Linked DNA regions of Rhinolophus ferrumequinum. The protein of the gene in region 3 purifies or fractionates together with the protein of the main gene of each other region. This does not show direct contact. Links are inferred from orthologs where the notes say so. Each region holds a gene or a part of one and is shown on either strand. Other genes may lie near its edges.

Region 1 (7,612 bases), on a different chromosome or scaffold from region 3:
GCAAAATAATTTACTTAAAAGTATAGTTTTTGCTTTCTCCCTAAATCTGTATCAATTATATTTAGTAGATGGTAAGAGGCAAAAGAGAATTTTCTCCCTTAAATCATGTCACTTTATACAAAAGAACTGTTCAGCATTGAACATTAGGCACTGTCTCGATGGTGAAAGAACCATAAAGTAACATTTGGATTCCTATTTTTCTAAAGATATCTGAATTGCTGATTAAAAACTGGAAGCACTGTACTGGTGTCATTGAACTACGAAATAACTTTCAAAGCCATACTACGTGATCGCCAAAATTCAATTTATATATAATGCTCTCACAGTAAGTTTGAAAGAGCTAGTACATGAAATTCTACTACTGTAACTTTTAAAAGATTAATTTAGAAATTACCATTTGGTCCATATGCTGTACGAGTCGTCTGGGCAAGCTCCTTGCAAGCCTGTATGTTCCTGTACACAGCCTCTTCTAATCCTGAAAAATGCTGTAAAAGAACTTCTTATTAGACGCGACAGTGAAACACAGTAATTTTCTTCATCTGTAAAACGGGGGTAATAATGGTACCTATTCACAGGACTGTTGAGATAATCAAGTAAGATTTGTGTATGTAAAGCATGGTGCTTGGTATTCATAAATGATCCATAAATTTGCTCACTAGTTTAATGAACAAAGCATGACATTTTTAGGGGCCACCAGTACCTATCTACACATTCAAACATAAAGCCTGTAAATTTTTTTTTTTAATGTAGTGGAAAAGTGCTAAGATTAATCAGAGAAAGCATGTGATTTATTTCAGGTAAAAATACCTTTTATCAGTACTTTCTGACTACAAGTTGCAATGTGGTATGAATACTTTTCTAATTGTGTTAGAGCCTGAGTATCATAACGCTAACAGTTCTATGTTCACAGGGAATTCCCATTTAACGTACCTGCCCCCAAATGTTTAGGGACTAAAGTATACAGACTTGAATGGCAACACAATTCCAATGTGTACATACTGAAAAAAATTGATGAATCGCTCACAGCACTAAAATTCTCAAGTTTTATATTGGACTTCTTTTAGACGTGATTTATTTGTGACCTCAGATAGGTTTCATGAGCCTACTGTTCTCCGGACCCTTTTTCTAGAGCTGCTTTGCCTAACATAGTAGCATTAGCCACATGGTTATTTCAATTTTATGTAATTAAAATTAAAAATTCAGTTTCTCAATTGCACTAGCTACAGTTCAAGCGCCCAGTGGCTATATGTGGCTAGTGGACACCATACTGGGCAATGCTGACATACGTTTCCATCATCAGAGAAAGTTCTGTCAGACAATACTGTTCTAGAGCATAAAGTGTGGCTTTTATTACACTCACAAAACTAACTGTGATCCAAACAAGGTTAATAATCACTTCTTTAGAAGGGGTGGACTCTTAGAATAGCATTCAGTCTGATCCCCTGCCCTACACTCTTGCTTCTTCCCCACCTCACCTCCATTCTCGGAGAAACAACCATCTGATTAGAAATCAGATCCCATCAAACCCTTCAATGCTTTTCCCACTAACTCTTAGGATAAATCGTAAATCCTTCCTCAGGGCTACAAGGCCCGACACAACACGTTCTGGCTCTTAGCTACATCTCCTCTAAAATCACCTCTTACTTTCCTTGCCTTCCCTTGGTAAGCTTCCGCCATCACCTTTCTTACTGTTTTAACAGCTCAAACTCATTCCATCCTCAAGGTATTTGTACTTACTGGGCCCTCGGCCTGGAACCCTTTCCCTTTTAATCTTGGCAGGTTCCTTGCGCCACTCAGCACTGACCTAAGAGTTCTTTCATGAACATCTTATTTAATTGCTCTAAGTCTCCGGACTCATGTTGCTCTGGTGGCAGACTTTGCTACTTCCTGTCGTTTTCTACTAGAGTGCTGTTTATATTCTCATCGTTATGTGAAATTATCCTTTTTGCTTGATCAGTCATTATTTCTGTCTCAGAATAAAGCCTACGAAATTTTCAGCCTGACTTTTTAAATAAAGTAAGCAGTAGTTGATGTAGTTTGCAGCAAAGCGGTTTCATCAACATTTACATTAAACCTTAATATTTATTTATACTCACGGTATGCCAAAGTGCATCCCGCCCACAAGAAACTAGTTCCCAAAAACTGTTACCTAAAATTGAACCATGCTGACCTATACTTCCTTAATTAAACACAGGAAATTTGGAGGACAAAAAAGGACCACTATTGGAACAGCCCAAGAGACAAATTTATCAGCAATGCATTAAAATATTTTTTTTTTAATCATGCTCTTTAAATTACATTCAAGGTCTGGCCATAAAACAAAGCAGTTTTATTTAGGCCAGGATGTCACTTACCCTGTGGATTACACAGGTCAGTCTGATAGTTACAACTTAAAGGTACCATCTTTTGGTCCAATCCCCTCAATTTAAAGGTGAGGAAAGCAAGACCTCCAGGGCTAAGTTTTACATCAAGGTAACTAACCTAAGTCTGGCCCAGGACCCATTTGGATTGTCTATCTGTCCTACTATAACGCACTACTTTTACGAAGTAAATGAGGAGCCCGGTTTCTCAGAAGGCTCTTCTTGAAAAGAAGCCGCCAAGAACTGGCCTTTGTTCCTCTCCTCTCCTCTCGAAGGATGGAGTGTAATCCGCCCCGTCTTACGGATGGAGGAGAAATGCACGTTTTAGGCTTGCCCAGCTAGTTAACGGAGGAAGCGAATCCTGCGGCCTCATCCCTAACCCGCCGCCTCCGACCTCTCAACGCTCCCTAGGATCGGGCAAGGGCAGAAATGATCGCGGGCGTCTGTGTCCGAGACCTCCAGACAACACCTCCCTTTCTGGAATCTTCTCTTCCTTAGACCGCTGTCAGGGTGGAGGGTCACACCCGGCCCTTTAGGAGGCCTTTTTCCTTCATTGCGGCCGCCGCAGCGCTACGCCGACTCTTCCACCTTACTCCCCCTTTCTCCATTCCTCACCTTCGCTCCATCCTTGAGCATCTGGGCAAAGCCCGGGGCCTTGGGGACATGAAGCGCCATGACTAGTAAGCAGGTAGCCCTTCACACGCCGGATCGCGAGATCCCAGAAGCAGCGAGGGGCACGCACAGCCTCCTGGGAACGCAGCGTGCCGTGACCCCACGCTCCTCCTCTCTCTCCTGCTAGACCTGCCCCTTTCCCGGCTGCCTCGCGAGATACAGCAGTTCCCGCAGCCAGAACTGAGTTGACGATCCTCGATCAGGTCGATCGATCGAACCGATCGTAGAGCGCGCTTTCAGTCTTCGAGTCTACGCATGCGCAGGCGGCCCAGGTTGTTGAGGCTCGCTCCCGACTGTCCCCACTGTCGAGACTCCGGGGTTGGGACGTTATACTTTTGACATTTCTGACCTGGAAGCCTCGCCTCCCTCCTAATATTAATTTTCAGGTACTCCTCCAGACCCACCCATAACATCAGGGCAGGTGTTTCCTTTTATCCCGAAGCAGAGCATCTGCCCTCATCCGCAAAAATCTATCGTTGGGCGTCTGCTCTGTCTTGGTCATACTAGTAAGAAGTGCTGGGGACGTGAGAGTAATAATTAGTCTGTGAGGATAACTACACAGCTCCTATGTGCCAGGCTCTGTGTTGTTTTCCATGCAGTATCATAGCTAATGGCCAGTCTTAACGAGTTAACTATCATTTTCTCCATTTGGTAGAAGCGGAAACAAGTTTACAAATGATAATTTGTCCAACATCACAGAGTTAGTAATGTCAAAGCTAGAATGCCTACCCAGATCAGACTGACTACAGAATGCACATTTTTAACCACTGTCTATCTTCCTTTTTTTCTGCTTTTGCCTTGAAATACAAATCCCTTTACTCTTCCAGAATCTTAAAACTTGATCGGTGTGTCTTCCCACATCAACACATGGCTGATTTCAAAAAGACTGAATGGTAATGGAGTATTTTACAGAATTATATCACAATGTGAAAGTTATCCCTTCTTGTGGAAAATACAGAAAACATGAAGCAGAACGTTTTGGCTCGGCTTTTGTTCTTTGACTTGAACAGTACAAATTACTATTTTCTTTCGGGACAGATTTTGTGTGCTTTGGGGAATAATCACATGTGTCATGGCTATCATCAGTTATAACTTTTTCCACTTTTTTCTCAAAAAATACATAATTATTAAAATAAAAAAGTGCTTTTTTGCCACCTCAAATGGTATGTGAACCACCTATTGGGAAGCATTCAAAGAAATCAGCGGTTCTCAAAGTGGTTTGGGGACCTCTGAAGTGTGCTAAGACCTCTCAGGGTCCTCCAGGACCAAACTATTTTCATAATAATGCTGGGACATTTGTTCTCATTGTTTCAGTGGAAAATTTGCCAGAGGTTACAGAAGGTGTGTGATTAAAACAGTTTGAATGTAAAAGGCATGAGAAACCAGTTATCTTCTGTTAAACCAAATAAGAGACTTGCAAAAATGTAAAACAATGCCACTCTTCTCTTTTTTTTTGAAAGATAGTTATTTTTAATAAAATATGTTATCATGTGATGAGTTTATTACTGTTATTTTTTAAAATTAATATTAAAAATATCAGTTTTGGTTTATAAAACAATATTGGTAATTATAACCCTCATTAATAAAAGCTATTGAGAATATCAATAATTTTGAAGAGTAAAGGAGTCTTAAGACTGAGAAATGATAGAACCACTGCAATAGGTCAGTCTTGAACAATGATAGAACAACTGAAGATTTTCTCATGATTAGCTAAGAAATAAAACTTATTTACCTGACTTAGAGTATTATTTATAACCCAAAATAAAACTGAAAGGGGTTAAAAATTACACCTGATGAAATTTAATTAATAAAAACTGACTAAGGAATCGAATTTTGATAAAGACCGTGGAAATTTAAACTTGAGGATGAAACAATTGGTGAATCAAATTTCCATGGAAAGTTTATAATAAAAAATTGATCTTACAATTAATTTTAAATAAAAAGGAAATGGAAAGAATTGAAATCAATTAAAATCTGTATGGTAATTTATCAAGAAATTGAATTGATTTAATTGCCAAGAAGAATGATTTTTAGATGAAAATTCATTAATTTTGTATTGCTTGGGTTAAGCTGTCTTCATAGTTATAGAATCAGAGGGTGAAATTTCCACTGGATCCAAATAATAGGCCAAATAATCTTTGCCCAGAAAATAAATACAAATGCTTAACGTGGCTTCGAGGCCTAGGTTTGGTCCCTGCTTATCTCCCAAGTGTCTTCTCCTTGGCCTTCCAGTCTGTCTTCTGCTCACAATAGCCTGAATATTCATCCTGTCTGTTTCACCTCTTCCACATCAGGGCCTTTGCCTCTGCTTTCTCTCTACCTAGAATGCGCTCCCACTCCCTTTCGGCTGAGTTAGTTCTACTTCAGTAAAAAGACCCTTTTGTTAGAAAGCCTTCGATGATTCCTAAGACATTCGCTGTTAGTCATTGTCATAACTTCTCCTTTATAGCACTGATCACAGTGGTAATGACAAAATTATAATCTCAGCTGCTAGGCATGGCATGGAGGAGAGTCTTAAATAATTGTACAATGAACAAATGGATGATCAAATGGGTGTCCAGAAGAGGGCACCAAAGAATTGGGAGGTGTGGTCTCTATTCGTTTCATCCAGATGTACATGCTCTAAAACTAGAGAATATTACAAAGTAATCAAAAGGGTTTGCCCGGGAGTTTGCAAAAGACCAAGGAGACTAGTTTTCTGCTATTTTGATTCAAAAGCCCAGGACTCATGTTAGGTGCCAACTGAAAACATGGCCTTTAGCTGTTTCCTGGAGTGAGGGTGCCTGCCCCTCAGCTCCCTATATTCAGGAGGAACTCCGCTCTTGCCCTGGGTGGGGATGTCTAAGCCATCAGGACTCTGATAACCAGTCACTATTCGTTTCCAGTGATTTTGTTTCTATTTTTCCTCTTTTTTTTTTTGCCACTGTACTTCAGAATTTTTTTATTAATTTATTGGGGTGACAATTGTCAGTAAAATTACATAGATTTCAGGTGTGCAATTCTGTATCACATCATCTGTAAATTACATTGTGTGTTCACCACCCAGAGTCAGTTCTCCCTCGATCACCATATATCTGATCCCCCCACCTTCATCTCCCACCCCCCAACCCCCTTACCCTCTGGTAACCACTAAATTACGTTCAGAATTTTTTGTAATGTTTTAGCCTTGTCTATGTGTTTTACATTTTTTGGTATTTAATTTTGCGAACTCCCATTAAATCTTTAATCTTCTGGCTTTTCTTCCCTTCCCTCCCCTCAATTTGTATTATTGATTTCATATTACTATATCATCTATTTTCACTATTTTTCCATCAAATTTGATTCTTTTTATTGGGTTTTGGATTTTATGACTCATTTTGTGTCAGCTTCTTATTTTACTTCAATTTCTTTTTTGTGTGAAAAATCTCAATTTTTCTTTATAAATATAATTTTTTAAAAAATTGTAATCAAGTTTCTTGGGGCTTAAGAGAACTCCTGTTTCCCTCTCTGAGTTTGGAAACAATTACATGGGAATCAGGCAACTGGGATTCAGAATATCACACGTTGGAGGACATGGCTTAGTGTAAAGCCCAAACATGCTTGTGATTGCTGCTTTGCACTCAATTGGAGTAGAAAAAAAGAAAAGAGGTCATTAGACTTTAAATGGGGTGACTCTGTTAATCTGGAAATAAATAGCCCAAATGAGAGGCAACTAACATTTATTTGGGATCAAAAATAATTGCAGGGAGGGGAGCACAGATTCAGGTAGAAACCCAAATAGTGTCCCAATACAGGGTGAAGGCAGAAGGTTTTTATGAGAAAAGGAAGGGGACAATTACATGAATAGAAAAAGAAATTTCTATTGGTGGTAACAAGCCGAGTTCCTCTTTAGCTATACATGGCTGGTTACCAGTCTATCATCAGAAAGAGACTCCGTGATCAGTCATTGTGATCAAGTGTTTGTTTTCCTGTTGGCTTTATAAGTAGTTGTTTGTAAGACAATGTTGGTTTGGCTCAGTTCAAAGGTTATTTTGCCCAGTTCAAATATTCCCAAGTTTCAAGAAACAAGACGTGCAATATACACTGAGTGCATATAGGCAGATGCAGTATTTGCTGATGTCACTCGTGCCATGACCAGTATGTCTAGTCTCGATTTTCGGTTGTTTAGCTGGAGGTTTCTCCCCTTCCATTAAGAAGATTCCTCTCCTAACATGGGGTAGTTGTGGCCTTAACATAATGTTCTTACACTGCCTTACTTTAAAAACTTCAAGCAAACTGACATGTATCCATTCTGACTATATTAATCATTTGACTGCAGGAGGCCTTAAATCTAAGGTGTTTGGTCCCTCTTTTTTAGAGGCTGAGAAGTCTAAAATCAAGGTGCCAACAAGGTCAGTTTCATTATGAGGCCTTTTATCTTGGCTTGGGGGCAGCCACCATCCTGCGTGTGCAAGATCTCTGATGTAGCACGATGAAATTTCATGCCGTCCTGCTCCATCCTGCCTGGGATGTGAACCATCCCTGTGTCCAGGGTCTCCACACTGTAGACGCTCCCCACCCATTAGTCACTTAGTCTCAGTGATCAGATCTGTTGTCACAGT
Region 2 (7,596 bases), on a different chromosome or scaffold from region 3:
AAGCAACCCAGGTGTTCACCTATGAAAGACTGGATAAATAAAATGTGGTTTATACATACACAATGAACTATTATTTGGCCTTAAAAAGGAAGGAAATCCTGGCACATGCTACAGCATGAATAAATCCTGAATGAATGACCCCTGAAGATGCTAAGTGAAACATGCCCAGTCACAAAAAGACCAATATTGTATAATTGCACTTATGCGAGGTTCCAAGAGCAGTCAGATTCACAGAAAGAAAAAGTAGAATGATGGTTGCCTGGGGCTGGGAGGAGGGCAAAAGGGAAGACTATGTTAATGGATACAGAGTTTCAGTTAAGGAAGAGAAGATGAAAAAGTTCTGGAGATGGATGGTGGTGATGGTTGCAAAACAACGTGTGTACTTAATTATCACAAAACTGTACACTTAAAAGTGGTTAAAATAATAAATGTCATGTATATTTTACCACAAAAAAGGGGGAAAATCTGAAATATTCAGAGAGAGATCACCTGAACATTTAAGGTTTCACAGTTTCATTCATTCAACAAGTGTTAACTAAGGACTTAACTACAGGTTATACAGGTTTTTCCCTGAAAATCCACTTGGGAACAGCAATGCTACTCAACAAAAAGAGCACACATGCAAGGATTCTGAAATCAAACCATGACAATCCGGGCTCTGCCACTTCTAGACTCATAACTTGAGGCAATTATCTCTGAGTCTTAGTTTCCTTGCATGTAAAATAAGGACAATATCTCGGCCACAATGAGGATTAAACGAGAATGTATATAAAAGCACCTGCAACATCTTGGCACATAAGGAGGCACTTCTTATTAATAAATGCTCCCCTTCTCTCCTTTGCCACAAGTAATGACCACAGGATGTTAAAGTCACAAGTGAGAGACTGTGCAATACCTACTTTCTCAAATGAAGCAAGCATCTCACATGTCAGACAGTGGCAGGGAATAAGTATCGCAATGCCATAAAAATCATCCTTCCTAGAAGGTGGCACTAGAAGGTGGCACTACACTTCAGGTACCACCCACTATGTAACACCACAAAATCACTATCAAATGAGATCATGAGCCACATCAAAATAAAACGTCTTCTAAAACCAAGACAATAAACTCAGCAATCACAAAGCAATCTCACTATGCAGTTCATACACGGGGCCACAAGCATTATACAGAAGGCAGAACTTAATTAATCTTTATTGATGAGACAGTAGAATAAAAAGTAGAGCAAGCCGTTACTAAAATAATTGCAGGAAGACTTTTCTCCCCAAATTAAATTTAACTAATACATCTTTTCATAAAACGGCATTTTGATGCCATGAATAAATCTGTAAGCCAACATTACCATTTAAATGCTTATTCCGTGACATATTAAAAGCAATCATTAGTGTTTCTAATCTACAAAGTTTTATAAAATATGGCCGAAGATGAAGTTTTGAAAATAACTGTGTGTATAGATATGGCATATATTACATCCAATACACTCGTGCCACAGGTAGCTAGTGTTAAAGACAACACTTGGCAAAATAAACTGATTATTCCAGAACCTAGTTCCTAAAGATATTAGCAATACTAAAGTTATTATTCACTAGCAGCCTCATTCAGAATCATGTACCATCATCCATGTAATAAATTATTGGATCTCTTGGTAAGATCGCTTTTTTTTTATTTAGAAAATTTAATGTTTATACCAATACAGTTCCACTTTAGTTAACCTTTTATTAAAACACATTGAAAATATATAATTTTCCAAGTTACTTAACTCCTTACTTCTGCCTTTTTCCAGTCACTGAGTTGCTGCACTTGAAAACTAAGCAACAAGAAGACAACTGAAAATCGTAACTGTAAAAATTCGGAAAATTCAAAGCACCTCAAGAAACACACACTTTAAAGTAATACCCTTTAATTGGATGAATGTTTTTAAACCGCGCTAGTCATAAGAACACTCAGACTTATACGGATCAGTAACGCCTCCCTTTTAAGCACGACTTTCTTCACAAAAGCACTGACTGAACACTATCCAGCGAGGATTCCCCACTCATCCCTGTTTTTGCAAATCTTCAGGCTGTTAAAGATACACTACGTGGTTTGTTAGCTCTGTATTGCGGGCAAAGCCATTGGGGCAGCTCAGCTTTTCCAGGTAATCTATATAAATCTGATGTGCTAACTTAAAACATACACTGATTTCCCAAAGATTAAAAACCCTTTGCAGGATCCAGACGTTCTGGCACAAAAACCTGGGAAGGGTGGAAAGATGGCCTCGGCCACCCGCCCCCTGGGACCCAGACCTGGTCACCTGCCAATAAACATGAACAATCCTCCCACTGCTCCCCGGGAGGGCCCCGAAGGCTCGCGCTTTCCAGCCAGCACGCGCAGCCCGGCTTCCTCCCCTCCCAGCTCTTTCCAAGGTGTCCACTGAGGCCCAGCGCAGTGGCCCCCACCACCGCAGGTCCCAGGATGCTCCCGAGACCCCGCTGCAGATCCCGCACCACTCCGTGCGCGTACCCGGACCTGTCAAACCCCTGGGGCAGGGCCAAGCGGTGAGGGCGCGCTCCCCTCCGCGTGCGGAGGCGCCCGCGTCCCCAGCCAGTGCCGGAGCGACCGCACAAAGTCCCTCCAAAGCGGCGAATCAGGAGCGGCGCCAGGGTCGGGGGAGGCGCAGAGCCCCGCGGGTGGACGCCGGCCCCGCAGGCCGCGCCGCCCGGGACCAGAAGAGGCCGCGCCATCTGCTCGCGCCGTCTCCGCCCCGCGGGCCAGGCCGGAGCGCGGGCCCAGGGCCGGGACGCCCACGCGGGCCCGGGCGCCGAGGCGGGCGCGGAGCCGGGCGGAGCCGCTCCCCGCCCCGGACACAAAGCGGCTCCGCGGGAGCCCGCCTCACCTGCAGCACGGGGCGCCGCGGGCCTTCGAGAACCATCGGACCCCGCTCCGACGCGCGCGTCACAGCCCAGGCCTCCCGGTGCTGCCCGGCGCCGCCGCCGCCGCCGCCATTTCCTCCCGCTCGCCGTCGCCTCGTCCCCGCTGTCAGGTTACTCCATTCACCTGGGCCTGGAGCAGCCTGTGCCGCGCCGCGCCTCCGCCTCGACCCCTCCCGCCGGCGCCTGCGGAGACTGCGCAGCGCCCGGCTCGTCCGCAGCCCGCGCACGGCCCGCGGCAACGGCGCACCGCGGCTTGGAGAATCCCACCGGCGCCCGCGCCGCCCCCTCCGCGCCCCCACGCTCCGCTCGTCCCGCACCGGCATGAGAGAGAGCCTGTGATTGGACAGAGTGTGGCGGTGAAAGGTTAATCCCGGCCCCCCAGCCACTCAGGAGCCAGGAGACAGCGGACGCGGCGGCGGAGGCCGAGGCGGCGTTTGCGGCCCAGCTTTTGGCCGGGACCCGGGCGTTCGACCGCCGCGGCCCCGCGCCTTTGCGACCCTCGTGGGCCTGCGCGCCGAGGTTGCGGACACTCGCTTAACTTGGCAGAACCTCTTGGCTCATGGAATTCGCCCGCCTCCATTGTTGCCCTTTCTGGCACCCACCGCCCTCTGAACGTGGCCCTGCCCCACAGCTGTAATTGTTCTCCGGAGGGCTCGGCGTCCGTTTTCCACTTCCCAACCCCTATTTCAAGGACCTTCCCACTTGCCTGCTTTTGCTCCGCATTAGTGGTGCGGGGCCCAACGCATTAGGCGAGACGACAGACCCCACCTCCTTCCCCACACCCCGGAGCTGGGATAACCAAATAACTGAGATGGGGACAGTGGCCCCACTTATGTAAATTGTTCATTTGCATAGGTTGCAACCGTGTACCATACCTCACAGCTGTGAATTAAAATATGGAGGCCAAGTAAGTGGCTGGCTTAAAGAAAATCCTATTCATTTATGCCAAAATGTAGACATCTCTTCCAGAGGACTCACCTGACAGGTTTACTCCAGAGGAGGTCTGGTAACAGCAACCATGCTTCTGCTCTCAGGAGTTAGCACTTAGCAGCACCTACTACGCGCTAGACACTGTCTAGGGCTGCACTCTTCAATACAGCGGCCACCAGCCTTACGTGGCTACTGAGCACTTAGAATATGGCCACTCTCTGCTGAGACGTGCTAGTCGAACTCAGATGTATGTGTTCTTTACCAGAAAAGAATGTAAAACATCTAATAATTATGTTGGTTACATGTCGTAGTGGTATTATTTTTAATGTATTGAAATAAATATCAGTTTCATCTTATTTTTTTAATGTGAGTGCCGAATGAATTTTAACGTTTCATGTGACTCGCGTTATATAATTTACTGTTGGACAGGCTGGTGTAAATAAGCCCGTGATCTTTACGTGGACCCTGTGAGGTAGGTGCTGTAATTGCTGCCCCCAACACACATACACACTATTAAAATGAAAACCTCCAGCAAGTAAACTAATAAATGAACAACTGAGATTTGAACCCAGGTATTCTGGCTTGGAGCTGATGTGCTCAGTCATTACTGTGCTCAAATTTTGATCATATATTTACTGTAAATTGGCTTGTAGGTTTCACTTAAACATAGAATGTTCATGGGTAAAATGAGGAAATAGTCAGAATGCTCTTGGCAGACTTCCATAGAAAATGTTTCTTATATTCCAAGCACAGTGGGAAATAGATCTCTCCAGTAGTATACAGAAAGGCTTTGGAGCCATAATCCTTCATGGGAGGATGGCATCTCAGGATGGGAACAGGTATGGGGGTCCACTAGCAATGGGAATTTGTGGGCAGGTTAACACTTTCAGGCCCTCCTGCTGTCCTCCCAATCTGTCAAAACTAGCTGGGCTTCTCCATCCACAGCTTTCTCTGATTTTCATCAAGTTAAACTTTTTTTTTAAATAAATAAGCACATATATACTATGTGGCTTGTCCATCAGAAACCATTAAAAAGTATACAGTAAAAATTATCTCTCCCCCGACACCTGTCCCCATGCCCAAACATGTAACCACTATTTTTTTGCTCCTTCTAGAGCAATTCTTTATGCATGTACAAGCCCAGGACGTTCCTCAATTTACAAAAATAGTGGTATGCCATACACATTTACTGTGCCTTGCTTTTTATTACATAATATATCAAGAAGATATGTGTATAGCAATATATACAGAGCTCCTTGCTTTTTTTTTTTTTTTTCCAATTCCCATAACATTTTATTGCAGGGCTATCCCATTATTTAACCAATTATCTATTGATGGACAGTTAGACTTCTAGTCTTTTGCAATTAAACATTGATCCACTTGGAACTGATTCCATACAAGGGATGTGGTATAGATCGAATTTTTTTTTTCCAGATGGCTACACAGTTTGCTATTTATTGGCCATTTGTTGAAGAGTTCACTTCTAGACTCTATTTTGTTCCCATGGTGTATCTATTCCTCCTCCAGTTGCTGGTTTATTTTAAATCTGGAGACATAAAATCTTGTAAGGGATAGTGTTTCATACTTTGTTTAGATCACTAGAAATCTTAGAGCTAATATTTCAGCCCATATTAAGCAGCAGTACAGTTCCATGTGGTATGCATTTTCTGTGGGCTAATTTTTATTTTCCCTTTGCCCTGATTATATTCCACAATTTGTTTCATTTTTTTTTTTTGGTAGAACAAGCCAGGATATAAATAAATATACCTTTGTTTAAGACTCTCTGTTTGCAAGTAACAAACCAATCTTAACCAAAAGGGAAGAATTTATCATAAGGATGTAGGAGTTTCTCACAAAAGCCAGGAGCAGAAATACAGCTGCATCATAGCTAGGGCCTACAACCAGTGATTGAAAAGCTTCCAGGAACCCGAAAGATAACTCTTCATGTCCTTCTGTGACATTTTTCCTTTGTTTTCTGCTTCATCTGTGCATCTCTCTCTACTAACTTCTTTTCTCTGCTTTACAACTAACACTGAAGAATACAGCCACCCCGTATTTATCTAGGAAGTCAGGCCAGTGTCGGGGTGTGAGCCCAGAAAGGGAAGGAAGGACAGCCATCCTGTAAAGTCAGGTGACTGATTATACAGGGGGGCTACACAAAGGAAAAACTATTGAGGATAATAGCAGCCAGCTTTCTCACTTTTGGAGAAGGGGTTACAAATACAAAAAGAAGAAAAGCAAGAAGGCTTGAGTGATTGGATGGGAATTGAGATGTCGATGTGAATTCAAGGTTTTTCAATATATATATATATATATATCTATTAAATAAATACAAATGTAAAAGTATCATATAGATGAGCTTAGAACATCTTGTGCCAGAGAGTATGAAAATGCTCAAAGAATGATGAAGACAATTCAAAGACAAAGCAGTCATCTTGAAGGGCCTCCTGCTGGCCAAATCTGAGACAACTTTTGAGCATCAAAATAAATTATGACAATACAATATATCCCATGCATATGGATATATCCATGAATCTACACTGATTTTTTTTAATGAATAAATAAATCGAAAGAAGAAACAGCTCTTCCTTTGAGTAGAATTCAACTGATAACTTTGGAAGGAATAATGGAATTGGAAAATCACCATTTGGCAATCATCAGCCAAGAAATATCAATGTTTACTAAATCTAGTGGGTAAAAGTTGGACAAGGAATGAGATAGTAATATAGTTTCAAAGCATCTCCCCATAAAATTATTATTTTAAAAAATGAGAACTTTACAAAAGAGAATCTAGCAGATACACCACCTTACTCAAGTATTCAAAGTTAACTGTCATGCAAGGAGTCACAGACAAACCCCCCAAGGCCACATGGTACATCTATAATGTGGGATTTATTGGGGGAAACTTACATGCAGAGAAGTGGGAGAATGAACACCGTCCCTTTAACTTTCATTATTACACAACATAGGCCAAGCACAGCTCTTGACCACGACCAAGGTTTCAGCAAGACAAGGCCTGCCTCTGCCAGCAACCAAGTAGGTGTACAACAGACAGAGACAGAGCCCAAGACAGAAGTGGGCCCCATCCCCACACTGCATTACATATTTATATGTTGGCCTAATTGGGGGTGGAGAATTTCTAGTTTCTCTAAATAACAAGAACTACGACAAGGGAACTGCTATGATGGCAGATGCATATGGATGGATATTGGGCCACAAAAGAAGGGGAGCCTAACAGTCCATGGGGGGTCAAAGAAGTTCTTCCTAAGTAAGGAACCCACGTAAGCTGAGACCTAAAGTGCTAGTGATCAAGTAAAGGGTAGGGGACTTCCACGCAGAAGGCCCAGGATGCCCAAAGCCCAGAGGCAAGGAGGTGTGGGGGCTCATTCAAAGAACTGAAAGAAACCCAGTGTTGACCCAACCATAGAGCAAGCGATAAGGAGACGGGGAAATGACACCAGAACGGAAAGAACTTATGTATCATGTTAAGGATTTGCTGTTTCATCTCAAAGACGAAGAAGCCATATAAAGGTTTTTAATCAACAGGTAATGTGATCAGATATACATTTTTAAAAGTGAACTCCAGCCCGTGAGGAAGAACAAAATTAAAGTGTTCATTTGCAACAGTGTAAAAGATAAGGTAGCTTTGACGAGGATAGTCAAGGGGAGAGAGATATAGCTGATTTAGATATATTAGGAGGGTAAAAATGTGACTCTTTTATAGTTCCAGTTTCAAGGCCACCAAGACTATTTTCTA
Region 3 (7,909 bases):
CCCTCAAGTGTTTAATAATCTTGTAATTCATTCCCTGCCTTGCTTCCTCCCACCTTCATGTAGTCTTATTTTCAAATGCATAAAAGAAATTGCAAAACAGTTATTCTCCAGAGCATGTGAGATCTTTTTCCCCAGCATATGTCATCAGTTTTGCTCAAATAAACTCTTATGAAAATTCTCTGCAGGTCTGGATGTTTCTTACGTCGACACGCCAAATCAGAGGTTTCCAAAGCGAGGACGTGCAACCCAGTGAAGTGCAAGATGATCCCTGCAATTCCACTCCTAGGTATATGCCTGGAAAAATTGAAAACAGATACTCAAACAAGTACATGTACATTCATGCTCATAGCACCACTATTCATAATAGCCAAGAGATGGAAACAGCCCAAATGTCCATCAACGAATGGATAAACAAATTGTGCTATATATTTACATATTCAGCTATAAATAGGAATGAAGTACTAATACATGCAACCACATGGATGAATCTTGAAAACATTATACTAAGTGTAAGTAGCCAGATAAAAGGTCACATATTGTATGATTCCATTTATACGAAATGTCCAGAACAGATAGAGCTATAGTGATAGAACACATATTGGTGGTTGCCAGGGGCCGGGTGGGAATGAGATGGGGAGAAACTGCTTTGTGGTTAAGGGGTTTTCTTTTGGAGTGATGGAAATGTTTTGGAATTAGATTGAGGTGGTGGTTACAATTGTGAACATACTAAATGCCATTGAATTGTTCACTTTAAAATGGTTAATTTCATGTTATGTAAATTTCACCTCAAAAAAGTTATTTTTGAAAAAAATGAAGTAGCCACTCTTACTGGTCTGGTGAGGATTGAATAAAGCATGGGTTCCCTAAGGATTCTAAGATGTGAAATGCTGGGCAAATAACAGCTGGGGACAACTGAAAGAAGGAATGGCCTGGGGGTCAGCAGGTGTGGCTTTGCTGTTCTGCCCCTAAGCAGTAATGATATAAGATAGCTATAATAATTACAGCTGACACTTCTATAATGTTTAATATGAGCCAGGCACTGTTACAAATGCTTTACATCATAAACTCACTAAATCCTTTGTCGTGCGGGGCGTCCGGCGGGGTCTCTGGTCCCACTCCCCACACAAAAACGCAGGACATGGTGAGGCCAAAAAGGAACACCCACAGAGCCATAGGTAGGGGAGTCATACCATTATACTCTCACTGGCAGCTGGGTTGGAGACACAGGAACCAGGAGCAACACAATTCTCAACCCTCACTGTGCCGCTTGCAGACTCAGCCACCATCTTCTTGCTAGCTCCCCCTTTTTCCTGCTAGCCTAGCCATGGCAGTTATATTCATGGCTAATGGCTCACTGGTTACAGCTGACGGCCAACTAGCTACAGCTGATGGCCATTTGATCACAGTCAATGGCTATTTACTACCTGAGCCAGCACCTTTCTATGTGAGGCCGAGAGCCTGGAAACTGCTTTTTGGGGCTCTGTCCCCACACTCCACCCCTACAGGGTCTCGCCTCACCATCTACGCGACAAGCGTCTTCCGCGAGGGGCCCTGTGCGAGGAGCCTGGAGGTGAATGCTATTTCCTGGACACAGCCAAGCTCTCTGGTCACAGCCAGGGTTTCTCAGGGCACCACCAGTACTTCTGGGCACAGCCAGACTTCCTGGACTTCTTAGGGTACCACTAGTCTCCCCGGGCACAGCCAGGGTTTCTCAGGGCACCACCAGTACTTCTGGGCACAGCCAGACTTCCTGGACTTCTTAGGGTACCAGTCAAGGTGCTTACATATTCTCGATGGCGGCCAGTCAAGACAAAATAGCAAACATCTGCCAGTTCCACTACATGGTGGTATGTTCCCAAACAAATAGTCAAGCTGTCCATTAAATTAGGGATGGAAGGCAATTCCCCATAGTCCATAGTCATTCGCCAGGGCTGTCCTGGGGGTGAGGGATGACCTTGACCTCACCCTCAGCTCCCACGGAGGACTCAGCAAGCCTTTCCTCCTGGGACTACAAGTCCTGCATCCGGGCTGCCTCAGCAAGCACTTTCCATCTCACGGGCCGCAACGATCTTCACTTTCTCTGGCCTCTGCTGGTTGGGGAACCGTTCACGTCTTCCCATCCCTCCACGGGGTTCCAGCTCTCAGGCAGCTGCTCCGCCTGGTCTTCCTGCAACTGAGTGTTCAGATGCACAAACTGCTCCACTGCCCTTCGGGGAGCTTTGGCCAACACCGTACCCTGCTCGCTGAGCCATGTGTCGTGCAGGGGATCCTGCCGACTATGCCATGTGTCATGCCGGGCGGCCTGCAGGGGATCTTGCCAACTTCGCCATGTGTCATGTAGGGTGTCATGCGGGGTATCCTGCCGACTACGCCAAGTGTCGTGCGGGGCGTCCGGCGGGGTCTCTGGTCCCACTCCTCACACAAAAACGCAGGACATGGTGAGGCCAAAAAGGAACACCCACGGAGCCATAGGTAGGGGAGTCATACCATTATACTCTCACTGGCGGCTGGGTTGGAGACACAGGAACCAGGAGCCACACAATTCTCAACCCTCACTGTGCCGCTTGCAGACTCAGCCACCATCTTCTTGCTAGCTCCCCCTTTTTCCTGCTAGCCTAGCCATGGCAGTTATATTCATGGCTAATGGCTCACTGGTTACAGCTGACGGCCAACTAGCCACAACTGATGGCCATTTGATCACAGTCGATGGCCATTTACTACCTGAGCCAGCACCTTTCTATGTGACGCCGAGAGCCTGGAAACTGCTTTTTGGGGCTCTGTCCCCACACCTTACAATGCTAACAGGTGGGTACTATCATGTTTCCACTACAGATGAGAAAACTGAGGAACTGAGGTTTGAATGACTTGTCCAAGTCACAGATGAGGAAGTGGCAGAGTCCAAATTTGAATTGGGGCACTTAGCCTCCATAAACTGGTCTCAAACCCCAGGCTCTGTAGTAAGGGCTTTCCATGTTTTATCTCATTTAATCTTGAGAGGCAGGTATTACTGTTGTTAAAGGAAAAAAAACCAAAAAACCACAGGCCCCAAATGGTATCACTCGTGCTAAAAGCCCATGATACAAAACCTAGATTTAATACCTGATCTAATTGTAGTTTCAACCTCTCCCAGAACATAATTAACCAGTCTGGAATTTTCTGGTCAAGCACCTGTAAGGTCATCTGTCACATAGGCCCTCTCCATCCCTCATAGAAAAAAGAGGCAATCTGCATGATAAAAACCCTTGCCCTTCTTGTTCCAAAAGATGTCCAGCCAGAAAATAATCCTTTTTTTCCACTAGTAACTCCTCTTCCTCACGGTTTCCTATAAAAACCTTCCTTTTTGTACAATCCTTAGCAGCTCCCTTCTAGTTACTAGATGAGATGCTGCCTGATTCATGAATCGCTCAGTAAAGCTAATTAGATCTTCAAATTTACTCATTTGAATTTTTAGTTATAATGCCTATTAAAAAAAAAAATCCCCTCATGGCTCATTCGTATTTAATGCCTTCATATTTCCCCGGCATTTATTTTCATGTTGGTCCACATACTCCTCTCATTATCTCATCGTGCTTCACTTCATTGTTCTTTATGCCGCGCATATTACTACCTATTATTTCCACTTTATTTTGGTCTCTCATCACTAGAAGGCAGGGCTTTTAATAATTGTTGATTTCCCAATACTCAGAACAATGTGTGGTACACAATAGGCTCTCAATAAAAATTTAAATGAATGTTGCACACTGTAGTGGGTAGTTTTGTGTGCCTGTGTTTGAATAAGTAAAATTATACTGTACATGTTCTTTTTTTAAAAAAAAATTCAACGTCCTGTATTAAAAAAAAAAAACAGTACATAAACCTACCCATTCTTTTTAACAGATGGATGATAGATCTTCCATACTGTGGAGGTAGCACTTTTATTTAACCAGCTTCCTATTTAATTAATCCACATTTTCCCCAGTGTACGTCTAAGGCATACAATATTCCTAATAAACATCTTAGTACATACCTTTTTGTGTATACGTGTACATATTTCTCTAGAATTAGTGCCTAGAAGCGGAATTGCTGGGAGGGTTATAACCATTAAAATATCCATAGATAATGCCAAATTGCCCTCCTGATGTCCATTTCTGCCAGTGCTCAACGAGGGTACACAAGTTTTCATATACCTTGGACCAGACTGGATATTATGAGTCTTTTCAACTTTTTGCCAATCTCATGGGGGGAGAAGGAACCCCCAATTTACAGATGAGAAAACTGAGGCTCAGAGAAGTTTAGGGATTTTCCCACACAATCAGTAAGTGGCGGAGTCGCGATTCGACGTCTCCTGTGTCCCACTCTGGAGAGGATGAGCCAAAGCTGGACAATGTTCTACGCTGTGCATCCTCGGGAATTTCTGGGTCTTGTGATGCTGGCAGGCTTGCCCTCCTCCCCTCTCTAGGCCTCAGACCCCCTTCGAGGCGGCTAACCTCGGCCCTTCTCCACTGCCCACCGCCTCTCCCCAGCCTCGAGCCTACAACCTCCGGGCTCCGAAATGGCGACCAGCTAGCTCGCGAGGCCACGCCCCTTCCCTGGGAGGCGGGGCTGAATTCAGGCCGGAGCGATAGATGCCGGAGCCAAGTTTGAAGTCGGCTGCCAGGCTCGCGCAGAAGCAGACAGCCGGTGGCTCTTCAGGTCGGGAGGAGGAGCACCGAGTGGAGGGCTCGCTTGCCGGGGCCGCCCGAGAGTTTCTTCATCGCGGGTGCTGGGGCCGCCATCTTAGATGGCGGGAGTAAGACGAGAGCGAGCTTGAGACGCGCTCCTTTCCTGCTGCTCTCTTTGGGCCCCAAAGAGGGCCAGCTGGCCGGGCTTTGGGGCGTGTGCCCTGAGGCTCGGAGCGCGAGTGCGACGATGCGGGGGCTGCCCGGGGCCCCGTCCCCTGGGCTGGGGACGCGCTGAATGTGACCGCCTCCCGCTCCCTCACCCGCCGCGGGGAGGAGGAGCGGGCCAGACGCCGCTGCCGGACGACGGGACACGGAGGCGGCCCGGCTCTTTAGGTAGGCGGCTGGGCCGGGCCCTGGATGCTGAGGAAGCCGTGCGGTGGGGCTGAAGGGGCCGGATTCCCTGGTGGCCCGGCCTGGACGGTGCTGACGGAGTGGTCCCAACGGCTGCTGGGTGGAGGGCCCGAGCCAGGCCGCTGTCACCCCGGTTGGCGCTGAAGGGCGGGGGGGCCCCAGGACTCGGTGTCATGGCCGGCGAGCCGAGTTCCCACATCTCCACTCTAATTTCCTTGTGTTTCGGGGAAACGGGCCAGCGCCACCCCTGTACCTGGTGCACATTTCTCATATTTTGGCAGTGGGGAAATCCGCCCATTGGTGCCCTGTATCTGTATGTTGTCACTACCTTTTCTTATGGCCGCGGAGTGGGAGACCTGAGCTTGCATCTTCTCTCAAGGTCCGTCACTCAAGTGACACCCTTTTTTAGGGAAGACGAGAGAAATCCGGGACGAGAGGAGGAAATGGGTCACTGCTCTACAAAGGCATAGGGGCCTCGCCTTGGGTTTCAGGACTCTGTGGGTTACTAATGAAAGGTTTGGGATGCTTATACTGACAATTGGCCTCGGGATGGATGCCTTGGAGTGAAGATCCAGGGCTTTCTTTTGTGTAGAGTGAGAGCCGCCAGGACGCTGCAGCTGCAGAGGCTTTGCAGCGCAAGGCGATGCCCAGAGAGAGGAGTTTGGACATCGGGAGAGGGGAGGCGGCTGTGTTCATTCATTGTTCTCTTTCCAGCGCTCTGGGTGTGCCCTCTGGTATTCAGTCTCTGGTGGGAAGAATGATAGGATCTCCTGTGTCTCCTTGAGATGAGACCGGGTCCTAGAGGATCACATAATCTAAGTAGGGGATGAATTCAGGGCACGTTCTTTTAGTATTTCTGTGTGCCTTTTCCTTTGTGGGCTTAGTGGAGGGAGTCTCTGCCCTGCGTTGGCTCCCAGGGCGTGAAAACAATGCGCTGTGATAAGGATGGACTTACCAAGTGTTGTGGGAATTGGGAACCACTCGTTTTTCCTGGGGGAGTTGAGGAAGCCTATCCACTGGTGGGGACTTCTGCGCCGAGTTTTGGAGTGATGAGTAAGTAGTCACCAGGTGAGGAGGAAGGGAGAGCATTTTAAAGGGAGGGAACAGCTGGTACAAGGCTTAGAAACATGCAGCGGTTGGAATGAGTTTGGGGAGCAGCAAATAGTTTGGGGTGCAGGAAGGAAGTCGTGAGAGTTCAGGGTCTAAAAGAAAAGTTGGCTAGCTTGTGGAGGATATTTGTTGAAGACAGTGAACTAGTTGATTTAATTTGGATTATTTTAAATGAGTGTTGCTAATTTTTTTTTTTGCTGATAATTTATTTTCTTCTTTTGATGATATTGAAGCTGATATAATTGAAAATATTTACTTTGTTAAACCCAGGTAACATTTTTGACAAGTGCTTTACACAGCGGTGAATGAACTGAACATATTCCTAGGGATTCTTGCAGAAGATTTTTCTAAAGTTACAATTGCTCACAAAATTGTTGACTTTATAAATGTAGTGTACTAATACTGCATTTTGAATGGCTGTTGACAACAGAACTCATGCTCCCCAGTCATACAGAAATTGCCAGATTATATAAAACATCTGAAAAAATGTAGAATGCAAGTGGGTATTTTTAGTTTAGTATATGTGTTTTGTATAGTAAACTGTTTCTTTGGATTGATTCCATGGATTCCAATTCTGTATCAAGTCTTTAGCTCTATGAACATAATTTCCTCCAAATAGCCGTATTGTTGTGATTAATGCTGTGCTAAAGTGGTTATTGTGATATTAACAGGCTTTGTTTAGCAGTTCCTAAATCTTTCTTGGGTTGTGATGCTTCTATACCACTGAAGGACATTAAGGTTCTTTTCAGACTCATCAATCACAGGTGTCAATCAAGTGGTCCCCTGTCTGGAGGGGAACAGCCCATCCCAGAGAAAAATAAAAACTCCAGACCCCCCCCCCCCCCAAACAAAGGGCCTTGAGCCGCTCTTCTTGGTGCTCAGTCCATTCCTAATTCTTTGGAGTGTACTATCTCTTCTAGTAAACTTTTTTCACTTAAAAAAAAAAAAGATTCTTTTCATGGTGACAGAATGGGAGTAGACTTTGAGTGGTGAGCACACAATGTAATATTCAGATGATGTATTATACAATTGTACAACTGAAACTTATATAATCTTATTAACCACTGTCGTAAATTTAATTTAAAAAAGATTCTTTTGGCTTGTTTTCACCCTTATCACCTCAAGGGCTAAACTGTTTAAATTGCAACAGAAACATTTGACCCAATTGATTGAACACTGGATACTTGAGAAAATAAACCTGTTACTGTTTCTGTTGTAAAAGCTTATCTTTTAGGTATGTGGTATTTGTGATATAAATAGTAGTGGAATTGCTTAGTCTTGATAAACTTTTGTCAATAGTTGAAAAAATGGTTACGCCTTCAGAGTAGAAGGCTTGAGTGAAATACATTAGAACATATTTTATGGGATTTGGTTTAGCAGAAGAAAACAATGAAAAGCAGATTAAGCTGGTCATTTATGATGAAAAGTATCTAAAAGGTGAAATGGAGAATGGTTAAACATCAAGTGTTGTATTACAACTGCTCTGATGCTAGTTGCTTTTAGTTTAAAACATGCCATTTGTGAAATTCAAAGTAGGTGATTTGCTCTGAAGATTAAACAACTTGGAAGTTAAGTTTGACTTTTCCAGAAGCACTAGATTACTCATTAAATGGAAAATATAATTAATAACTTCAAATTACTATTTCAAGTAGTCTGTTAGTAGTAGATGTATTATTCTACAACATTTTAATTTCAGATAAAACTTTGTTGGTATTCTGCCTAAAAACAGAAAAATGCTACATGAGGGA
Region 4 (7,989 bases), on a different chromosome or scaffold from region 3:
TTATTTTATCCATTCAAAAATTGCCTCGAAAGCTCTAAATTCTTGCCATTTCTCCCCTTCAAGTTATCTTTTTGTAAAACTCCACTGATCACAGAACACTCAAGAGAAATTGTTTCAGGGAAATGTAGGTGCCTGAATGCAATTCAGCTTCTCAAGCACATTAGCACGGAGTGATCCTACAGTTATTCTGGTTGACCAAAGACCCGTTGCTCAATGTTAACAAGTGGGAGAAATGGGTGTGGTGATAAAATTCCAGTTCTCTGAGCTGGACAGTCAGGAAAAAAGGCATTCATTCCTCTCTAATGCAGCAAAAGCAGGATCTCACTGCTTCTGTGTCTACTTCAGTTGTGGACTGGGGGGAACAGTCTGATAGTCACTTAACTACACGAAATTAAAGCCATTTAGTTATCTATCTGACATTTTGCACTTACCAACTCTGCTACGAGTACCAATAATGAATTGTCACATTAAAGTAATAATGTCATCCTTCATGATTTGATAAAAGGTATGATGACAAACCATTTATTCAATGTTTCCCTAGTGATGGAGTAAATTTACATTAGTTCATTAATACATTCTAATTATTTGTGTGACTGAGGACATACATTTATAAGACAGCTGAGTATATAAAAGAGCAAAATTTGGCTGCAGAAGAAAAGCTTTGAGAATGAGGAAGTATTACTCAGGCTTCATTAGTTCTGTAACCAAAGCAACCCAGTACAAACTTGAAATTTTTGTGGCTACAGAGTGAAAATGTTTGTTTAAGAAAAAAAGTTCTAGAAATTCTGGGAGGGACAAAAGTCTCCTTTTGGCTGATGAAACTTTAATGAATCATTAATTGCCATAGGAATGCTATGCAAAATGTAGGGACAAGGGCCTTGGTTTCTAGTTGTAATTTTGCTGTGCACGTGTAGCATGGATAAAGTCCTAGAGAATTTGGTAGTTATTTTAGCTCAACCTCCCTTCAGTGCCAGATGTCTATAAATAATTTTTAAATGCTAGATGAAAAGACTTATCTCCTGTTATCGCTCCAGCTGGAAGTGATCTGTACCCATTCCTCTAAACTTGTATAAAACTTGTTTCTACCACTCCACAATAGTGATCAGAGGCTACTTCAAGTTGTCTCCTTACCTCCCCTACAGATCATACATTTTTGGAAAGCAGGAATCGTGGCTAATATAAATCAATATCCCTTTACAGTTCCTAATACAGTGTCTTACATTTCTTATATACCAATGTAGTCCACTAGATTAGTTGGACGGTACTTGGCAGCAACGTAGTTCCTGCCTGTGGATGCTCCCAACCCCCAACTCCCCTTACCGGATGTGGCCATCAGCCAGCAACAGGCAAATTGTTATTTCAGCGGTCTTAACTCATACATAAATTGCAACACCAACAACATCCATATTTAATGAGAGTTCATAGAGAGAGGACCTAGGATCTTATGGCCTAGCAAGCATCTCCAACAGTTATCCCTTGGCTACATCTCTGTCCTTCCAACACCCCTGGCACAGAAACTGTGTTACTATCAATGTACTGATGACCTACACTGGTGCAATGTACGTAAAATACCAGCAGTAAGTATCTTTTGACACATCACTGGATGGATGGTAGCAAACAATGATTATATTGAGAGTGATGATGATGAGCTGATTTCAAGGTTGTATATCCGAGTAGTACCATCCATTCAGACATACCCAATTCATTTTTGTCAGCTCCCGGTTCTCCCAGTAGACTCTCAAGTGGATCCTATTGAAGACCCTTGATCACTGTAAAACTCAGATTAGGCCTAAGCAAATTCATCCTCTCTACACACAAATATAATTTACAGGTTGCCTCTGGACCCTCATTTGCATTATCCAGTACTACATAAATTCTTCAGTGACGCAGTGACGGTTGTCATTTGGTACTTGGTTCACTGAACCTACTGAAGGAGGTCAAACGTGGTTTGTCTTGTGTCAACTTCCATTCTATGGCAAAGACTAATTTATCAGAGGGGACACAGTTCTCTACCTCCCAGCGACAAAAACAAACCAGAAGCAACCTTACTTATGATTCATTCATGTTGACTTTATTGTCCATGCCAGGAAGTGAATGAAATTCAATTCTCAAAGAATTCTGGGAGTTTTTACACTTAGGAATTGAGATCGAAGGCCCTCAAATTTTATCAGGAGACCCAAGGAGCTTTCGCCTGGATGCACAAGCAGCTTTCGAAACTGCAAACCTCACTACTATAGTCTTCATCAGGGCAGCTATAGTTTCTTTGGGGGCGTGCTAAAAATCAGAACCAGGGTCAGGGGCTAGGAGCAACAAAAGAGGGTGACAATACAATTCCCTAGTAAAGCTTTGAAAACTATTTTCCGTCGCTGACTTAAGCATGCAGCTATACACGGAAGCTCCAAACAGTCGGCTTCTCTTTAAAAAGAGAAACTTACAGAAACTTTGTTTTAAAAAAATCACTTAGTGTCTCTATGCTTTCTACTCCCGCCCCCCCCCCCCCCGTTTCTTCTACACCCTAAAAGTCAGCGAACGCGACTTTTTTGGCAGATGCACCGTGCTCTAGGGATGTGGCCTCGGGGCGGGGCTGGCCGACACGAGCAGGCCCGTGAGGAGGAGGTGGCAGGGAGCTGTTATAATTACACTACCCGACTGCCCTCCGACCTTCAGGAGGTAAACAAGAATGACCCTCTAGTCCGAGGGACTGGATGAGTGGCCAGGCCCAGGGACCGAGGACGAGAACGTCCGCAAGCCAGGCGCAAAACAGAAACCCGCAGGACGTAAAGCCGGGAGCCGGGCTTCGCCGGGACCCGAGCCGCTTCCCAGAGCGCGCGGGAAGGACAGCGGCGGCCTTCAACCCAGGCTGCGCGCTGAGGGCCAACGGGGTCGTGAGCAGGCTCAGGCCCCAGGTCCCCGAACTACTAGCAGAAACACAGGCCGGGAACGAGGGAGATCCATGCCGCGCCGGGAGCGAAGACTGAGGACAAAAGGAGAGCTAACGAGGAGGAGGCTCTGGAGACAAGGCCGAGCACCGCCATACTTACCCTTCCCGGTAGCGCCCACAGCCCAGGCTGCCGCAGCAGCAGCTCACCCACCGGCTCCGCTCACGCGCACAAGCACCTCCCAACCGGAAGCGACTCCGCACCCCGCCCCTCTCCGCCTCACCGGGCGGCTTCCCAGCCAATCAGCAACAAACCCGCTACTCGCGCAGATCTTCGCTGGACAGCCATTGGTCGCACGATCGCGTAGCCCCCATTGGCTGGAAAGCGCCACGTCCCCGAGCGCGCCTAGTTGCGTGGGCGAATTCCCGCCCAACTCTGGTCCCGGGTCCTGTTGGGATGGCGGGCCCCAGCCCCCTACTCGGGGCGGCTGTGGGCGAGGCAGCCTGGCTGCCACGTCCTGGTTCAGGGCGCGTGACTGTGTCTTGCAGGGCTTCTTGGATTACTCCGCTAGTTATCTTCATGCCCTTGGCACCTTCATAATCTGGCTGCAGCATGAAGGAAAAATGGGCCACATGCGAAGCTGGACAAGCTCAGGGGAGGCCTGCTTGGCAGGCCCTATAAACTCGGACCAAAAGTAATCACAAAGTATGGTATGAACATAAAAATTCCTAACTAAAAGGGGGTCATGGTGGGTAGTTAAGTTGTAGGCCTGTAGCTTCCTTGACAAAGGTCTGTCTTTACCTTAAGTGAGCCTATTATCTGTTTGCATCTAAGATAACATACCCTTTAAATGTCAGAGTAATCTTTTCCAGACCTCTCAAGGCACAACCACAAGCACCAGAGCATGAGACCACTGAGCCCCTCATTATGCTGTTCCCCGCATGCCATCACTATGGGCAGTAAATGTTACTAGCCATCCTGTACCCACCAACGTAAAGGAAGTCCGTGTTGCTCCATTTTGCCTTTTTATCCAATCCCATAGATTTCCCCCACTTTGCTTTCTCCTGACCCCTTAATCTACCACCACTGAATTTCATCTAACCCTCTTTTTATTCTAATATATTAAAATACGACGCGCAACTGCAATTCTCCAGAGCGTTTTCTTAATCTGTTGAGATCTTGCTTCCAGCAATTGTCGTCATTTTGGCTCAGATAAACTCATAAAAATTCTCTACAGGTTTGGATGTTTCTTACCTCGACAGTATCAATCACTAACTGCATGGAACAACCCCAACTTCTTTCCCTTCAGCCCTAGCGCCATGGTGGAGTAGCCTACAGCAGGCTCTTTACTCTTTGGCTTCAGTGTATCTTTCCACTTGACCTCCCACCAGCCCCTCTCATACATCTTGCTCTCTGGCCACCATCATCTTGGTGTTCCCTAATAGCCTGCCTTTCACCTGTCTATGGTCTTTCATCATCAATTGACCTCCTATACCTGGAGTAAGTGCATTTTCCAGATTTTCTGCCAATAGAAGTTCCAGTTTATAGAAATTCTGGTTCAGATGTTAGCTCTTTAAGTTTTTCCTGACCCCATTAGGCATAATAATTCCTCCCTTATTTGTCTTCGTAGTACTTTGTATATTCAATATAGTTTGCCAAATCTTGGTATAAAACACGGCTTTCCATATGTCCTTCTCCAGACTAAGCTCCAGGTTAGAGATCTGCCTTATTCATTTTTGTATCTACAGCTTTGAGCTTACTGCTGAGTTCAAAGTAAATGCTTAAATAGTGTTAAGAGAACAGAATGCATGTCCCTGATTTAAGAGGAACACAGAAAATTATTCACTTATTTATTTTCATGTCATAAAATTAAAACAAATATTAAATGGGGACTACTATGTTTGCAACACAAATGGAATATAAACCTGTGTTTTTAGCACATAAAGCTTCTATATTTTAAAATCCAATTATAATGATGTTAACTTCATTTTTTAAAAATTTTTATTGGGGAACAGTGTGTTTTTTCAGGACCCATCGCCTTCAAGTCAAGCCGTTGTTTTCACTCTAGTGGTGGAGGGGCAGCTCACTGGCCCATGTGGGAATTGAACCGGCAACATTGGTGTTATGAGCAATGCCCTCTAACCAACTGAGCCAACCGGCCGCCCAATAATGTCAACTTCAAAAGTCTGACATCAGGCATCCCAGCTCTGCTCATATGATGCTACTGAACATTCACTCCACAAATGAGTATATTATTCCCTGTGTGCCCGATACTGTTCTAGGTACTGGGGATACAGCAGTGAACAAAATGGACTAAACTCTCTCACAGTGCTCATATGCTGGTATGTAGCCAATTAACAGGACAAAAAAGCAAAATATGTAGAATGAGAGGTGGTAACAGGTTCTAAGGAATAAAATAAGGCAGAAGGGAGAAAAGGGAATGTTGGGACTATGAGAAGTGGTGTTGCAATCTTAGAAAGGGTGGCCAGGGAAGGCTCATGAAGAAAGCGATATGGGAGTCAACATTTGAAAGTGGTGAAGAACATTCCAGAAAAAGGGAACAAGGGCAAAGGCTGTGAGCTGAAACATGCTTAGAGTGTTTGACAAGCAGCAGGAAGCCAGTGTGGCTGGAGTATAACAACAGAGGAGAGGAGAGGACATGAGGTCATAATAGCAGCAGGGACAGGGGTAAGAGGGAGAGGGGCACTGTGGGGCCTTTGGACCATTGTAAGGACTTTGGCTATGAATGAGATAGCGTGGAAGAGATTGGCTATTTACCAAACTGTTTCCTCTTCAGCCTGTGAATATAGCTGGACTACATTTCCCAACTTCCCTTGCAGTGTGGCCATGGGACTGAGTTCTGGCCAAAGGAAGAAAGGCAGAAGTGATGTCCACGACTTCCAGTACTGGCCATACAAACCTTCCGTGTGTGATTCTTCAAGCTCTTTCTCTTTCTGTGGCCACCCTAGAAGTTATGTAGTGCAGTTGGCAGAGTCACAAGATGGAAAGAACCCAGGTTCCCGTTAAAGAGCCACTCACTGAACAGGAACACCCTTTTTAGACTTTGTGAGTGAGAAATGGTCTTCTACTGGTTATTTTATGCCACTGATATATTGAGGTTTGTCTCTTACAGAACTAGCATTACCCTAATAAAGGTGGGCAGCCATTGAAGGTTCTGAACAGAGAAATGACATAGTCTAAGATTTCTAAAGGGTCATATTACACTGAAGAGGTTGAGGTTAGAAGCAAGGATTCCACTTACAAGCTTTTGCAACAACCCAGGTGATGATGAAGATGGCTTGGTCCAGGGTGGTAGCAGTGGAAATAGTGAGAAGAGTCAGATTCTGCCTATATTTTGAGAATAGTTTAAAAGGATTTCCTGATGGATTGGAAATGGGGTGGAGAAAACGCTAGGAATCAAGGATGACTCCAAGGTTTTGAGCAACTAGAAAACCAGGACAGAGAAGACTTTGGGGGAACAAGTTTTGAGGGATAATATTGAAAGATTAGTTTTAGATATGTTGAGGTGCCTATTAGACATTCAAATGGAGATATTAAGTAGGTAGTTGGATATATATCTCTGGAGTTTGCAGCGGTCTGGAGTACAGATATATATTTGGGAGCAATTAGTATATATGTGATATGAAAACCATGAGTTTTCATTAGAAGAGAACCGAGGACCGAGTCTTGGAAATTTCTAATGTTCAGAGATGGTGGAGGGGTGTTGATGAGAATGAATCGGCAAATGAGACTCAAAAGAAAAGCCAGTGAAGGAGGAGGAAGGCCAGGAGCGTGCAGTGTTCTCGAATCCAGGTGAAGAAACTGTTTCAAGGAGAAAGGAGTAGTCACATATGTCACATGCTGCTAACGGTGAGATGTTGGCCAGTGGCTTTGCAATGTGGGGATCAGGCTTGCTGGGGTAGTGGGTGCACAAACCTACTGGAGTTGTTCAAGAAAGAATGGGAAGAAATTGGAGTGGAAACCCTTTCAAAGAGTTTACCATATAGGAGTGGAGAAAATGGAGCGGCAGCGGCAGAAGGGCCAAGAGAGGTTTTGTTTTATTTTGTTCGGTTTTTAAATGGAACAAATAACAGTATGTTTAGAAGAAATACCAGCTTTCTGATTGCTGGTGGGAAGGATTTAGGAGCGAGGATCAAACTGATGACGTAGGAAAACGAACGGAGAGTTGCTGGAGCAATGTCCTTGAGTAGGTGAGATGGGAGGAGATCCAGCACACAAGGGGAAGAGTTGGACTTTGCTTAGAGGGGAGACAGTTCTTCCATAACAACAAGGAGAGAAACTAGATCTGTGGGTCTGGTTCCAGGTAAGTGGTAGACGTGGTGGTGAGAGCTTGGAGTTCTCTTTCAATTGTTACTATGTTCTCAGTGCAATGGAAAGCTGGGTCATTAGGAGGCACTGGGCTGGAGGAGAGCGAAGATGTGAAACAGCCATTCAGCAGAGAGAATAGATAAGGAAAACACAGTATGACCTCCAGGAGACATTAAGGACCCTCCGTAGGCTTGTGATTATGACTCTGAGGTGGGACTGGTGAGGATCTCATGCGGTTTTCTCCAGGCAAGTTTAGCGGCATGGTGCAGGCATTGAGCGAGTGGAGAATTGGACTCAGCCATGTGAACAGAATAAAGAATAAAGACTCAAAGGGGTTGAGGTGCTGAGGGAGGGGCATATTTCAGAATGGGGTGGTGTGTGTAAGTTTTCATGAGCAGCTAAACTCAGGTATATAGTTGGAAAAGGGCCTATTCGTAGTATTAATGTGTTTGGAGCTGGGTCCAGTTTACAGAATTTTCATGTTGCCTTTCATGTCGGTGCTGAGGTGCGTGTAAGGGCGTGATGATAATGGTTCATCACAGAATCTAGGCTGTCAGGAAGGAAAATGAGGACATGAGGAGAGTGGGGGACAGTGAAAACCCAGAAGGAGTAATAAATTGTAGGATCGGTGGGGTGGAAGGATTACTGGACTCAGAGGGAAAGATAGGAGGTGGGATAGCTGGAGAATGGGAATAATGGGGTCGGTACAGTTATGAATGACAAACTCTAGGGTAAAATCAGGGGAGTCAGTGGCTGAGGATGGTGAAGGCTGGGACCATTG

What was found.
Region 1: the proteins of RAF1 (region 3) and CCT8 purify together in Homo sapiens (affinity purification with mass spectrometry; 4 studies listed by BioGRID and IntAct, with this or other methods). This does not show direct contact. The link is inferred for Rhinolophus ferrumequinum from reciprocal best matches to the Homo sapiens genes RAF1 and CCT8.
Region 2: the proteins of RAF1 (region 3) and DICER1 purify together in Homo sapiens (affinity purification with mass spectrometry; 3 studies listed by BioGRID and IntAct, with this or other methods). This does not show direct contact. The link is inferred for Rhinolophus ferrumequinum from reciprocal best matches to the Homo sapiens genes RAF1 and DICER1.
Region 4: the proteins of RAF1 (region 3) and CALU purify together in Homo sapiens (affinity purification with mass spectrometry; 3 studies listed by BioGRID and IntAct, with this or other methods). This does not show direct contact. The link is inferred for Rhinolophus ferrumequinum from reciprocal best matches to the Homo sapiens genes RAF1 and CALU.

Annotation. Positions count from the first base shown.
Region 1 is NC_046285.1:95,826,275-95,833,886, forward strand, and holds the start of CCT8 (T-complex protein 1 subunit theta), read right to left. Parts: upstream 3,138-7,612; 5' UTR 3,036-3,137; coding exon 2,976-3,035; intron 486-2,975; coding exon 395-485; intron 1-394. UniProt on the Homo sapiens protein: Component of the chaperonin-containing T-complex (TRiC), a molecular chaperone complex that assists the folding of actin, tubulin and other proteins upon ATP hydrolysis.
Region 2 is NC_046289.1:8,184,606-8,192,201, reverse strand, and holds the start of DICER1 (endoribonuclease Dicer), read right to left. Parts: upstream 3,053-7,596; 5' UTR 3,034-3,052; intron 3,012-3,033; exon of another isoform or gene 2,873-3,011; intron 1-2,872. UniProt on the Homo sapiens protein: Double-stranded RNA (dsRNA) endoribonuclease playing a central role in short dsRNA-mediated post-transcriptional gene silencing.
Region 3 is NC_046300.1:41,836,579-41,844,487, forward strand, and holds the start of RAF1 (RAF proto-oncogene serine/threonine-protein kinase), read left to right. Parts: upstream 1-4,900; 5' UTR 4,901-5,033; intron 5,034-7,909. UniProt on the Homo sapiens protein: Serine/threonine-protein kinase that acts as a regulatory link between the membrane-associated Ras GTPases and the MAPK/ERK cascade, and this critical regulatory link functions as a switch determining cell fate decisions including proliferation, differentiation, apoptosis, survival and oncogenic transformation.
Region 4 is NC_046309.1:17,384,503-17,392,491, forward strand, and holds the start of CALU (calumenin), read right to left. Parts: upstream 3,167-7,989; 5' UTR 3,042-3,166; intron 1-3,041. UniProt on the Homo sapiens protein: Involved in regulation of vitamin K-dependent carboxylation of multiple N-terminal glutamate residues. Seems to inhibit gamma-carboxylase GGCX. Binds 7 calcium ions with a low affinity.